3 linked regions of the Drosophila melanogaster genome follow. The protein of the gene in region 3 purifies or fractionates together with the protein of the main gene of each other region. This does not show direct contact. Each region holds a gene or a part of one and is shown on either strand. Other genes may lie near its edges.

The links. The genes of interacting proteins can lie anywhere in the genome.
Region 1: the proteins of Dpit47 (region 3) and Prim1 purify together in Drosophila melanogaster (affinity purification with western blotting, with the first as the bait; one study listed by BioGRID). This does not show direct contact.
Region 2: the proteins of Dpit47 (region 3) and PolA2 purify together in Drosophila melanogaster (affinity purification with western blotting, with the first as the bait; one study listed by BioGRID). This does not show direct contact.

Annotation. Positions count from the first base shown.
Region 1 is NT_037436.4:8,338,503-8,344,904, reverse strand, and holds Prim1 (DNA primase subunit 1), read right to left. Parts: upstream 4,592-6,402; 5' UTR 4,406-4,591; intron 4,121-4,405; exon of another isoform or gene 3,822-4,120; intron 3,759-3,821; exon of another isoform or gene 3,753-3,758; coding exon of another isoform or gene 2,436-3,752; exon of another isoform or gene 2,029-2,435; intron 1,940-2,028; 5' UTR 1,931-1,939; coding exon 1,771-1,930; intron 1,715-1,770; coding exon 558-1,714; 3' UTR 501-557; downstream 1-500. Other genes in the region: CG7182 (uncharacterized protein), read left to right, coding at 1-377; CG7083 (uncharacterized protein), read right to left, coding at 2,436-3,752; Pex2 (peroxin 2), read right to left, coding at 4,730-5,029, 5,084-5,515, 5,571-5,648, 5,715-5,750. UniProt on the Drosophila melanogaster protein: Catalytic subunit of the DNA primase complex and component of the DNA polymerase alpha complex (also known as the alpha DNA polymerase-primase complex) which play an essential role in the initiation of DNA synthesis.
Region 2 is NT_033777.3:27,237,611-27,241,728, forward strand, and holds PolA2 (DNA polymerase alpha subunit 2), read left to right. Parts: upstream 1-1,552; 5' UTR 1,553-1,663; coding exon 1,664-3,493; 3' UTR 3,494-3,618; downstream 3,619-4,118. Other genes in the region: CG31064 (uncharacterized protein), read right to left, coding at 1-213; CG17991 (uncharacterized protein), read left to right, coding at 3,722-4,118. UniProt on the Drosophila melanogaster protein: Accessory subunit of the DNA polymerase alpha complex (also known as the alpha DNA polymerase-primase complex) which plays an essential role in the initiation of DNA synthesis.
Region 3 is NT_033778.4:6,660,054-6,663,861, forward strand, and holds Dpit47 (DNA polymerase interacting tpr containing protein of 47kD), read right to left. Parts: upstream 2,066-3,808; 5' UTR 1,876-2,065; coding exon 1,246-1,875; intron 1,189-1,245; coding exon 628-1,188; 3' UTR 592-627; downstream 1-591. Other genes in the region: Adf1 (Adh transcription factor 1), read left to right, coding at 2,395-2,395, 2,516-2,704. UniProt on the Drosophila melanogaster protein: May act as a co-chaperone for HSP83.

The DNA.
Region 1 (6,402 bases), on a different chromosome or scaffold from region 3:
GCTGCGCGCGCCAAGCTGTGTGCCTGATTGACCCCCTCGAACAGCAGCTTCACAAGGAGGAGGATTGCGTGGTGGCTGAGGATGACCTCTTCATTTGGCACGGTAATGACGAATCCAACGCCAAATTGGTCCTGGGCAGGGGGAGCGTTCTGCCTGCCAAAATACGGATATCACTGCCCCAATCAGAGGAGGGAAAGGGTGACGACGTAAGCAAAGCAGCTGCTTCGTTTAAGCTGCGCACCGGGGAGAGCGAGATCCTGGCCCGTCTGCCCGACAGCACGATACCGGAGGATGGGCTTTACCAGCTAGAGGTTGAGGTAGATGTGGACGATAAGGACGGCAACGTGGTGCCGCTGGTGCGACTGCGCTGCATGTGAGAGCCGGATTGTGAACCGGAACCGGTGCGATGTCGCCTAGACTATTTATTGTTGCTAGCCTAATGATTACAATACAAAAACTTAATAAAGATAAATACGCAAGCGGCAAACGAGAAAGTGTATGCATACTGAAATATTCATTAACCTTTTATTTTCTTATGTTAGTTTGTAAAATTAGAATCAAAACTGCAAGCTGGCAGATTTCTGGCTGCGCTCCAGTTTTCGCAGGAACTCCTCGAAAACCACGACACCCTTGAACATGCTAGTCTTCTTGTGATCCTTGATGCGGCTCTTATCCTCCGGCGCCTCCATGTAGCTCTTGCTCTTATCATCGAAAGCGTTGATCTCGTGAAGCAACTGGGTGATCGTCGGCACTGTGGTGGGATCAAACTTGGCCACAGCACTCACACTAAACGGAACGCACACTTTTCCAGTGGCTGGATGAATGCAAAACGGTGCCTTTAGCAAATGATTGAATCCCCTAGTGACATTGATGTCCAAACGAGGATAGAGCAGTCCAAGCTGGATTTCGGCTACAATGTTCTTCAGCTTGCGACTCCAGGCACTTGTCGTGGATGTTCTCATAGAGTTGGCGTACTTAATGAAGCTCTCCCAAACGAGTCGCGAGTGTGCTCCATCCTCCAAATTCTTTTGCATATAAGATTCTAGTTCGCCACGCGCAGCGTCATCGTGGACCATGTTAAGAAGTTTGGTAACTCCCTTGGGAGTTCCAAAAAGATTCTGATCCTCTAGTACAATCTCCTCGAACATGGGCTCCACTATCTTTAAGGCTCTCTTTAGGCTATGATGCGGTCGGTCTCCCATTGAACATCTGGGTGAATTGCCGCCCGCGAAACTGGCATAGGTAATAATGTTAAGGTATTCCGCCACAGCATAGCGACCACGTCCGTCCAAGTGACGGGCTTGGTAGTCGCAAACCCAGCAATGGATACCTCGTCTACCTGAGAAAATCCAGATTATGTGCTCGAAACCGAAATCCTCGCGCAAAGCGACATCCAAAACCCTGGCAGCCAGCACCATAAACTTCCAGCATTTCAGGCATACCCCTGCTCCAGAGCAACAGGTACGCACCTCGTCGTAATCCGTCATATCTATATCAAAAACGAGTTCACGTTGTACGGGCGTTAAGCCGCCAGGAATTGAACGATGGTTTTTGGGTTTGGAATGCATTACTGGTCCTATGTCAATCTTAATAGGATTCCTCGAGCAGATCTCCTTTTCCAATTCAGCTTGGGTATCAAAGCAGAGGTAACGTATGTAGATATCGTCCTGCAGTGTAAAGGAAATTTCACGATTGGAAAAGATAGCATCCTCGGCTGAAAAGAATAATGATCAACGGCTATTTTTAAGGATTGTAGTTGGGTGTACTTACATGATCCATACGATAGCCAACGGTAGAAGGGCAGGTGGGGAAAGAGGCGCCTGTAATACACGGGCAACATATCCTGCAGGACTTCGGGATTGTAGGCATGCACAGCAGTAGTCTGCTGCTGTGGAGCCTGGTTCTCCTGATCTGTGACTTGTTCGGGCATTTTAAGAAACTGAAAATAAACCACATATCTTATGATTATATCCAGAAAAAGAACAGAATACTTATAACCGTAAAGAAATCAAAACCATTCAGCTTTTTGTCGAAACCTTATATTTATATATTTTTTTGCTGATTTTTTCTTTTTCAAAGAGAGATACACGATTGGAGCTTAAAGTACTGAAATATATTAACGACATGCATTTTTTAAACGTAAGAGGCTTATTAATTGTCAGTTATGGGTCGAAACAAATTGAATCGAGCTATCGCAATGGAATACCGCAGAATGAACCTGGTCAGAGAGTTCGTCCGATGATTGGCTTAGCTTACATTGGAAATCTACGTCTACCATGTATATATATATATCTATATATTACTATATAATGTATGTGTCTACTTTACGGCTATGTTAGATCATTGTTGTAGCTTAAAGATTAGAGCACGACCGGCGGGCTTTCCCTTGTTCAGCATCATGGAGCAGCGAAAGGAGCCCAGTAAATTCCACAACTTTAGGCCACTGTGAGGCGAATGTCTTGCATTTTGTGCTGCTGCCAGGAATGCGCTGGCTGCCTGGGAGGCGCAGTATTGTAGAGCGTTACCGAGGCGATGTGGCTATTGGGCATCACCTCGAAAATCAGGTCTTGGTAGCCATAGCAAAAGGTGGAGCCGAACGGATTCGCTGTGTTCGTCGAGCTGGCGCGATGCAGCACCACTGGCCGCTCTGAGGTGGCCAATGCGCTGCTGATCGCGTCCCATTTGGTGTAGGCGGTTATGTTCACATGTTCCTGCTTAGTCGGCGTCACCAAATCGTGACCACTATCACTCATCGAAGGGTGATCCGCCTGCAGCAGGAACTGGAACTCGCAGCGATGGTACATATTAAAGTTGAAGTGACCGGGGTAGTTGGTGTGCAGAATGAATTTCTTGCAGGTCTGCGTCCGTGCATCAAAGAGCACATCGATGCCAAGTGTAAAGTAGTTAAAGAAAATATCGCTTCGCTTGCTCTGTGCTTGTCGATTGACACTCGAGCTGTGTATCTTCATTTTGTCCTCGCTCTTGAAGAATATACGATTGGGTGCTCCAAGACTGGTGGCCACATCCTCGCAGCTATCGCCGAAGAGCAGCTCTCGCGTAAAGCACTGACGGCGTGGCTCCAAAGCCCTTCCTGAACCCTCAGTAAAGAGCTTCAGCTTCAGACCCTTCGTGTGACCAAAGGCGGTTCGGAGAACAGTGGCCGATTCCAAATACATCTGGCGGTGATAGCAGGACAAGGGAAGAGATGGTACCCTGTTCTCCAACACATTGCTGCCTGCGTAGAGAGACATCTTGGACACGACGGGTGAGGCGCCATTCAGGAAAACCAGAGAACTCAGTCCATGGGCGTAGCCCGAGTGCAGCTTGCTGTCCACCGGAAAGTAGAAACTCAGCCCGCGAAAGTGTAGAGCAAACAATTGTTTGGCTGCATCGTAAACCCCAGGATGTGTGGCTCCAAAGGAGTGCTCGATTTGCTCGATACTCGGCAGCACCTCCGGGGAATTGAAGTATACGCCGAAATACCGCAGCTTCACCAGTTTCATGTTGAAAACCTCGATGGTCTTCAAACGCTGACTGACGGGATCAAAGATCAAGCGAACGCCATCCTGTGGCAGGTTGATAATGATGTCCACGCCCAGGGGAGTGGTATCCGAGTACAGCACCTGGACTCCCTTGATGATGCCCACCTGCGACTGGATGATGGCGATAGCCTGCGAGAAGTGCATGCCCAGCACAAATTCCCAGGCATCGCAGCCCAGGGAAATCTCCGGCACGATCTCCAGATCTAGCATTTTCACCTGGGGGTTTTTAAGGGATCTTGGTTTGTTATTGTTGTTGCTGCGAGTCGTCAACTTACTGACCTTGATATGTGAAATCAGTTCGCGTTGCGAATATATTTAAACAATTATATATATACGCAATTGATGGCCAAGTGTATTTGTTATTATTTCAGCACTTTCTGTTTTCAATTGTTTGCTCTCGTTTTCTTATTTTCGCTGGTTATGCCTTTATTTATTTTTATGCAATTACGCAACTCCAAAAAAATTGTTTAATTCGTGGGTTTCCAACTACTTGTCGTGTTCTTGGTGAAGCGATTAATTGTATTGTTTTCTTCAAAAAAATTCGGACAAAGACGAAATGCGCAGCAGAAAAATGAGATAATAACAAAGTAATGGCGTTGCCACATCGCCGCAGGCAGCTGATTCGCGAAATTGCAAAACAAATTGGGTGTGGCTTTGCCACCCAAAAAATATGAATATTAATCATGTTCTTAGTCTATCTATCTAATCTAGTGGCTTAAATACGGTTAGAGCTACTTAACAGTTGAGTTCATATAATTGCTTAATTTATTTGCCACATTTGGCAACGCTGGTTGAGAATGCAACAGCTGTTCCCATATTTTCGCGCGCTTTTTATTTACCAAAGATAGGGATTTAGAACTTACTTTTTGATCTTAACTGTTGTTCTTGGAAAATCAGCAGTTAACTTTGGATCCGCAAGGCTTTATACTTCGCCCTAAACAGTTTTTGCTTTTTATTTTCGTTTAATTATACACTTTTTATGTAGTTTATATCGCACGACTCCTGGCACTGGGCAAGTAAATAATAGCTGTTTTTGTACGACTACCAACACTACTCTGCTTGCTAACACTAAAAGTACACACATTTGGCGGAATATGAAAATGATTTGTTTATTACTTACAGCCCACTTTTCGCTTAAAACTAATAAAAGACATATAAAACCATCACATGCACTATATTCCTATTTATCAGACACTTTGGATTCCCGACTCAGGACACGCAGAACCGCAGTTGGGGCAGCAGAAACTGGCATCCGTTAAAACATTTGCATTAAGGCAGTAATAGCAATAAATATGACCACAGCCCATGTGGTGGGGCAATGTGGGTCGCTCTCCACAGAATGTGCAGGTGGTGCTTAGTGTCATCTGCGGCGCCAGGAAAGCCGGACCATCTCTATCCTCTAACCGTCGTCCGGAAAATGTCCATGATTTTAGCACTCTTTGTAGCTTACGGAAATTGATGATGGGCAACACCAGTCCGAGGATTTCCTATAATATACACTGTAATATATATGTATAATAAGCAAACTAACTAACACGCACCATAAATCCTCCCCACAGCAGCTCCCTCGTTAGGTACTTGTAGCCAATGTCTCTCCTTTGATTGTTCCGCAGACTAATGTAGTCCAATCCCAATAAGTAGTCCACCAAAGTGGGTTTTCGTCCTGTCTTCAGGAACCGAAAGTAATTGAGGATGTTCAGTATCAGGGCACTGTTCTCCACCCACATAATCGCCTCGCTAAACCATTCTACGCGCCTTGTTAAGCGTCGCTCCTCCCAGCTCTTCACGTAGCCCGGCAAGACGGTCAGGATGAAATGGAGCACCAGCCTGGAAACGGTCAGCTTTTCGGCATCGTAAGCCAGAACCAGTAGCTGTTGGCCAAAAGTGGAGCACCGCTTGCCGACGGAACCAAACCAAATTGCGGATTGAATGATCAAGTCGAGCTCCGGTTGGATTTTGATGAACAAAACGGGCTGTGAGAGATATACAGTATATATTGGCCAATTATGGTAGTGTTCATATACTCACTGAGATGGCTTGCAAGTTCTCCAGCAGATTATCGCGTATCAGGCGGGCAATGTCCTTGTTCAAATAGATGGCATCTATCTAAAAGGTAAACATGTATAATTTTAGTGGTTTTAATTCATGAATAGCTCACCATAATTAGCTCACCTGATTTACACGTGGTACATATTTGTTTTTCTCCATTATTTTGTTTATATTCTTGCCTTTGGTTAGCTGACCATTGATATATTTCTTATTTATATGTACTCTGCCCTTTCTTATCAATTAGAGATGGCAATTGTAAAGAAAGTTTACTAGTCATTATCGACATTTTTAAACAGTGCTGGTAAACTATATCGACAAACCCCGCCAAATTTAAACTAGCCATACTAGCAATGCGGTTTGATTTTTTATTTATTGCTAATTGAAATCAGCTTATATATCAATTACATCGACATTTCGAAGAAACTCCAAGTCTTTTAACCATTTAGGAAGCATTTTCCGTCAACATTTCAATTAAGGCTTATGCAATTTCAATGAAAACAAATACAAGAAACCACAATGAACTGAAGAACTCGTTTGGGATCCGGAAAATGTGTCTAACGATGTCTGGTAATTTGTGGAAATCTTGCCCATTGCCGTTTACGTCTGGAAACGCATAAACCAGTTGGTCAGCTGAGACATTTGGTCATTTGTTTGAGGAGTGCAAGTTCAATGATTGGCCCCGGCTGAAAAAATTATGGCCAGTGGTCGGGTGAGTTTTGATTTTATAAAAAGTACATAATTCACACTTTATTACACAATTTACAATTTCTTCGTTCGATCTCTGTTTTACGAGAAGACATAAGTATACATT
Region 2 (4,118 bases), on a different chromosome or scaffold from region 3:
GGCAGCCATTGTTCCTGACGACAATGACGTCGCGCTGCCCGATGTTGGCGTTTTCACTGCACTTCTCAAGGGCTTCGAGCTGCTGCCGCTGGCACTTGATCCTGTTGCAAGGCTGCTCGACTTGATGCGACCGCTGCCGCTGGTGCTGCTGAGGTTGTTGTTGTTCGCCGACGACAACTTGGTCCTTTTTGTATCCTCGACAAGTCCACGCATTTCGCTGCTGCTTCAAAGTACGCCTGAGTAGTGTGTGTGTGTGCGTGGGCGTCCATAAAAATACAGATATATACATATATCGATATTAGCTGTTCAATAAGTTCCGAGTTTCCTTTGCTGCCGCTTTCCCTCAACTGTTTTTTCATTACCTTAGAGGGGTTTTTTCCTTTTGTAAACCTCTTTTCCAGAGGGTTTTACTTCTGAAATTAACAAAATAACCGAAAGTTCTCGCCGCTTTGATTTTGCACCGTTATCCTGTTGTGTACGCGTTGAGTAAGACTGGCAAAAAGTTCTTTATCCTATTGATTTGTCCAGTGCGCCAAGCTCGCAAGCTCCTCGCGAGCTTTCGTTGGGGGTGTTCTCGATGGTCACGCTGTGTGTGGTGCGCAAATCACCTTTGACACTTTCCCAATGCACTTTTAAGTTATTTTTAATCATATTATTTATACAAGTACCGAAATATTTCAACGACAGTTTCGCACAGCCCACGAAATTGCTAATACTAATTAATAAATACATTTTAGAATAGTTTTGAGTACCTAAATTGTTATATTAAATATATATGTGTATATATTTATATATATTATATATAATATATTTTATATATGCAACATTATTACTTAACATATTATTATTAGCGCACAATGGAAATTTGGTTTCCATTGCTGCTTATCATCGAATGAATAATAATTCGGACTCACCGCGTTTCAGTCGCTTTGCTTTCAGTTTCGATGGCGACGGGGATGAAGCACTGGCGCTCGCCACCGTGTCCGGCGCAACAGGTACAACAGGTGGTGCGGGCTCGTCGGGATACGGGTACGTGGTGGTGCCATCGATTACCTCGGAAGAGGCGGCTGCTGCGGCCGCATTCGAGAACTGTGTGGATATGTGGCTGAAGATCTGCGAGGAGATGCTCTCCGTGCGCCGGAAGGTGTTCCGCAGGCGGTCCAGCGATGACGTGGGGGCGCTGGGCGCAGGCGCGGCACCTCCGGTGGTGGGCGTAACCGGAATGGAGACACTCGAGGATTGGGAGTCTTCACTCCTTTCGCGGCGCACCAGCAGATCGTCCGTGCTCATGGCGAATCACTTGCTTCGCGGCGATTATCAGGACACTGTGCGGAGTCACATGAATCAAAATGACGCGATTACAGCCGCTAATTTCGCTTGTTTTGCGCTTGAACGCGGGTAAACAAAAAAGTTTGTCAATACAAAATTAAAACAGCTGTTGCACTGCGATTGGGGATGGGCGATAACAATCACTGGTTACAGATCACGGTTATCGCAGCTCGATGGGAGCTGTTATGTTATTGAACTGACTATGCTTATCGATAAGAAAACTCAAGCAGGTGTTAAAAGCATCATAGGGTGGCAACACTGTGCCCACTTTTACCGCCAAAATAAATTGCTAGGTTTATTTACGAAAATTAAACGCCCAACGAAAGGACAACGAATGGAGGAGGAATTGAAGCAGCAGTTCGACGAGATGGGCGTGGAGCCAGCGGACGCAGTTCTGGGCAGGTGTGCGGAGCTGGCCATTACCTACAACATCCACGACGCCACCGAGTTCGTGGAGCAGTGGATGGCCTTCAGTTTGTCGCACCTCCAAGGCGAGGATCCTGCGATCGAGAATCTGGGCGACTTTGAGCGCAAGGTGTTGCAGCTGCGGAAGGACAAGGCGGGATACAAGGCAACTGGCCAGAAGGCGAAATCATATGGTTCGCCCTCTGTACAGGATACGAGCTCACTGGCCACCTATGGCGTCATGGAGGACGATCCCATGCTGGATGACTATGTCAGCGAATCGGCAGTGGACTCCTCCGCTCTGCACACGCCCAAGGCCAAGAAGCAGTCGGATCGGACCGCCAATCTCAAGGGCGCCGCACTCTTTAGCCCCGCCAGCTATACACCCCAATCGGCAAAGAGGAAAGCAGGTTTAGAAACACCATCCAACTCAGTGGCCGGCAAGCCGGGCGATATAGTTGACACCTTCGGACATCCCAAACTCCTGGCTGGCTCCAGCTGGCAGTCACAAATGGAGCACACGGTTCCGGTGACTCAAAAACTGCTGCACAACGACGCCCCGCTGACCATCGCAAATTTGGGCTACATGAACGACCTGCTGACCGACCGATGTCACAACCTGCGCGTCCGCTTCAACCAAACCGGTCCGGCACTAGTGGACAAGAAACTTGGACAAGCAGGCGCAGCCGAGTGCATTTGGTATCCGCAGGATAGGCAGGTATTGCAGTCCGCAGGTGGACTCCACGCGGTGGGAATGATTCATTCCGAGGACGATGGCCCACTGGACGCCCACTCCGCATTTATGGCCGTTTTAGATGACGATGTAGAAGATGAAATGGACCCAACGCTCACGCTCAACTTCTCCAGGGTCAAGTCTGCCAGCATATTCCCAGGTCAAGTGGTGCTCGCCAAAGGGTTCATACCCAGGGGCAAAACCTTCATGGTAGAGGAGATACACACAGAGCGCAAACTGACGCCAGCAACGCCACTGCAAATAGACAGGGAGCTTCAGTTTGTGGTGGCCTCCGGACCCTTTACGGACAGTACGGATCTCTTCTACGAACCGCTGCACGACCTGCTCAAGTACCTCAAGGATCACAGACCTGACGTGCTGGTGCTCACGGGACCATTCCTGGATGCCGATCACAAGATGGTCGGCGAACTGGCCGAGACCTTCGATACATTCTTCGAGAAGATGATTGGGGGAATAATGGAGTCGATTGGTAGTCACACAGCAGTGCTGGTGGTGACCAGTCAGAAGGATGCCATGGCTCTTTCCGTATATCCAACGCCGCCGCCCGCTCTGCGCAGAACCTATCCAAATCTATACATGCTGCCCGATCCATCTCTGGTGGACTTGGATGGCTTTACGCTGGGCGTTACCTCAACCGACGTGGTGGACCACCTGTTGAGTCACGAGTTTGCTGTGAATGCCGGCGAGCGGATGCACAGGGCCATCAACCACTTGTTCCACCAGGGCTCCTTCTATCCTTTGTATCCGCCGGCGGACGAAGACATGGCCTACGATTCCCAGCTGGCGTTGAAATATGCACAGCTCAAACAGCTACCAAATGTGCTCATCTTGCCCAGCGATCAGCGGCATTTCATCCGCTTGGTCAACGACTGCCTGGTGATCAATCCCGGCCGTGTCGCGGACAAGAAGGGTGGAACTTTCGCCCGATTCCTGGTGGCGCCTTCGGTGCCGGGAAAGGCGGCCAACATGTTCAACAGTGTGGCGTGTCAAGTCCAACGCATCTAACCTGACCACTTTGTGATGATGATAAGGAAAGGATAGTGGGAAATAGATCAGTACAATATTATTAGTTAATATAATGAACACACTACTTTGTCATAACTTTTCACAAAATACATTCAACAACAAACAACTAGCATTAGTTATTTTGGGCCAAAGTAGGTATTGTATTATTTGTAAACATATGCCCTGGAGTTTTCTCAGACTCAAGTTTTATATACAACAAGATCAATAATGGCTAGCAACGTTGCTGCGCCACAAGCTTCAGCTGGAGGAGATTCGACGGAACTGGAGCGCTGTTGCTGGATCTGTTTTGAGACCGATAAGGAGGCAGGTCGCCAGGCTTGGGTGAATCCATGTCTCTGCCGAGGAACCAATAAGTGGGTGCACCAGAGCTGCATTTCCCTCTGGATCGACGAGAAGACCCGAATAAACAACAATCTGCAAGCCGTTTCCTGTCCACAATGCCAAACGGAGTACACCATTGCATACCCGAATCTCTGGATTTTCGATAGGGCTTTGGAGCTGACCAACGATCTTATCCTAACAAACTTATATAATTGCCTGGCCAATGTCTTCACGGTGGTCTTTGCCTATTGGTCAGCGGTTTCATTCGGAGCAAAAACATATT
Region 3 (3,808 bases):
TATTTATGTTGTAGTTTCTTGTGAATGTGATCTGATTAGTTCGACAAGTTGATTATTATGTTATCCGAGTATATAATACGCTTTCCCACGATGCACTTAGTATTAAGCCTTATATGTATGGTCATCCTGCTTTGTCAAATGTATTTTAACGAACCATATCCGGATCCACTTGGGGGGTCCCCTAGTATTACTACTGTTGTGAACCAACGATGAATGTCTAAGAATATGCTCAATTATGAAAATTTACAAAAACGCTTTTATACGTATTAAACCAAAAACCACATTGTTGACTCATTTAGGCGCCTTGTTGTTAAAGAAAAACTAAATTTAGCTAAACAATTTTCAATTCTACAGATGATTAATCGTCTACCAAAATGGGCTTACGCCGCATCAGATATTTTTTGGCGGCGTAGCCTGAACTACGCTTTTCGGCTTCGCATAACATATCAGAGATTAGTTAAACTTACAATAAAATGCTTCAAGATAGCATAACCAATGCTGAACTGTACCGTGACTAAACCATAAGCTTACAAATAAAATATGCCACAAAAATGAAGTAAACTTTACAAGCAAATGAAAAGGTGTTTGTTTGTTTTCAAGAAGGAATCACTTTATTTGCTCACTGTCTTAACTGTAAACCATGGGTCGTCGCCGTTCGTTTATAAACTCCTGTTCCACTCGCGAATCCTTGTGCACCACATAGAAGAGCAGAGCGCCACCGGAAACGAAAAACCCCTTTTCGGCGATTATCTCGGCCAGCTGCTTCTCCTCGTCCACCTTGTGGACACAGCCCACCTTGCGGTTCTCGTAGTAAACGTGCACGTTACCCAGGCGGTAGTTGTGTGCCTTGTCGTATGGCAGCTTTTCGGTGAGCAGCGTCGCCAGGCAATCCCGCATGGTGGTGGTCTCCGGCAGCTGCTGATAAAAGTCGCTGTACAGGAACTCGGGGTAGGAGAACGCAGCCGGCCAGATCAGAGTGCTGCCGTCCTCGTCTAGGTGCACCGGATGGTCCTCCAAAGGCAGAAACTTTGGATAAAGGAGCTCCTCACTGAGGACGTCCTTTTTGCCAACTTTTTGATCGTCAAACTTAATGGCGCGCTGCTCGATGGCGTCGCGGAGTCTGTGGAAGCGTGTAAGCCGTCGCTTTGCCTCGGCAGCTTCCTTGCGCTGATTGCGTTCTATCTCGAGCTACGGAAATAACTTGTTTAATGTGGGTTCCTATCCAGTTGGATCACGTATTCTAACCTTCTTCATCTTGTTCTTGTGCAGCAGCGCGATGGCCACCTCGTTGTCGACGTCCACCTCGAGCAGCTCCTCGCACATCTGGGTGCACAGATCGAACCTCTCCAGCTCGTACGCACACTGTGCCGACCGCCAGCGGGCCTTTGTGTAGTCTGGCTTGTAGAACAGAGCTCGCTGGGCGTCGCTCAGCGAGGATCTGTAGTTCTTGATGAAGAAGTGAGCCGCCGAGCGGTTGTTGTAGAGAACGGCTAGCACGTCGGGATTGTCCGTCTTGGTCTTGATGCCCTCGGTAAAGCTGTAGATTGCCATGCGGAACTTCTTGTGCTTCATGTAAAAGTTGCCATCCTCCTTGTAGTTGAGCGCCAGCTCGTCGCGCGTGTTCTCCTCCGGATCGTACTTGAGCTTCTGCAGACCCTCGAACATCGGATGCACGTCATCCCCTGGCTGAGGAGCACGTTTCATGAAGAACGGGTGCTTGTCCATCTCCTCCTGCCAGCGGTCCTCCGGCCAGCCCTCCTCGTAACGTTTCTTCTCCAGGCCATCGATAAACGCATCCAGTTCCGCGTCCAGCTGGGCCGCCAGCTCCAGACGCTCCTCATCCGTCCAGGCTTTTTGTGCCGCCATTTGTTTCATTTGGTCTAATCAGAAACAGTGTGACCGCAGACGAACCGTTACAATATACCAACTGGCCAAAGGTGCCGCACATTTCCTAAAGGTGGCGCCTCTAAAATAAGGGTGGCCCTCCGTCTATCGATAGTCGTACGCTTCCTTCTTTAAACGAGCTAAACTCGGAACGAATTATGATCTTAACATCTTAAATCTTAACATGGTAAAACTTTAAGCCTTTTGACGCTTTACGCAGCTGTTGTGATATATCAGAAACATCGATAGTCGCCATAACATATTGTTATTGTATGAGAGTTTTAAAATTATCGATGCGCTGATGACCCCTTCATCGGCGTTTTCCCACCCCTAATTGGCAGAGACGCGACTGAGCTGGGACGTACCGTTACCGTTGGCAGAGACGCGACTGAGAAATAAAATTAAAACGTCGACGTTCCTTCCTCGTAGAAGAAACCAATCAAAATAAAAACAAACAGAGCGTGCGTTCGCGCCAAATACTTAACAACAATTAGCAAACGTAAGAAGCAAAGTGAGTGTCGTCGGCTGCGGGAGCCCGTGTGCCCAGTTTGGAACTGGGATCCGACCCAGTCCACGTCCGTCTCGTCCCCGCTAAATTTGTAACTCTTGTTTCCCCGTCTTGTCCCCTCAGTGCATACCCTCACGGCGGCCATTGAGATGGACAAGCTGGATGCCAATCTTGAGCAGCAGTTTGATCTCAATCTCATCGAGGCTGTCAAGCTGAACCCAGTGATATACGACAGGTCGCACTACAATTACAAGCACTTTGTGCGCAAGGCCCAGACCTGGAAACAAATCGCCGAAACGCTCGGTGTGCCTGGTAAGTGAAATTCGGCTGGTTTTGGCTACGGGTTTTCTGCTTTCTGTCAGCCGTCTTCGGTCCGTGCCCCAACCAGCCCCAGCCAATTGATTAATTCTGTGCGGGCGCAGGTCGAAGGGGCGGGACAAGTCAGTCGACGACGACGACAGAAAACGACGCAAAAGTGAACGGCGACGCGGCGCAGTAGCTGGCTGATGGTTAGGAAATGGCAGGGGGGGATCTATACGTGTGAGGGTGGGCGCGGGCTGCACCGCTCATAAATTGCATTTTATGCGAACTTTTTTTACTGCATTTATATGGTTGCATTTAGAATACAGTTCATTAGTAATTAAACCTAGGTTAATTTCTATCTGTAAAGATCTGCTCTAAAATGAGCGCCCCTTTCGGGCGCTCGGACTGCGGCCCTGCTTGCTCTGTCGGTGTGCAGACTGTGCTCAGTCGATATTTTTGAAGTTGCTGTACTTTGCCGTCGCGTCGCAGTAGTTGTCTCGCTCGCTCCGCAGCCATTCTGCTTGCGCCAGCGTTTATTTTCGTACACTGCGACTGCGATGTGCGCTGCTCACACACGTATACATGCATACAGCATACAGTGGCAGAAAACAGTTTGGCACGGGTTATAAATACGTATTTATTAGTAAAATAAATAAGTTGCTCAGTTCTTTAGACGAAACTATGGATTTTATTTTAATATTGAATAGGATGAGAATTCGGAAAATTAAAATATAGGGCTTTGGAAAGGTCAATAGATAAGCACAAATTAGAACAGCTGTGTCAACACTTCAGAGTCCCACTGTACATACCGGAGACCGACCAGGCAGCTTTCGTTTCGTTTTCATGAGTATACCAACAAAATGTACCGTTCACCCCACCCCCTCGACGGCCGTTGATCGAACCTTAAATTTTCGGCCAAATCGCTGCACCTCATCCGCTTTCGATTATGCAAGTAGGTGGCTGGAAAGCTGGAGTTGCAGTCAAGTGGAGCCAGCAGCAATGCCACAGGTTTCCGTCTCCTGGCAGCGGGCAGCGGGAGTCGGCGACGTCACAGCCACCGTCACGTCAACGTCTCTGCTGGCGCTGGGAAGCTGCTGTCCGCTGCCTTCCTTC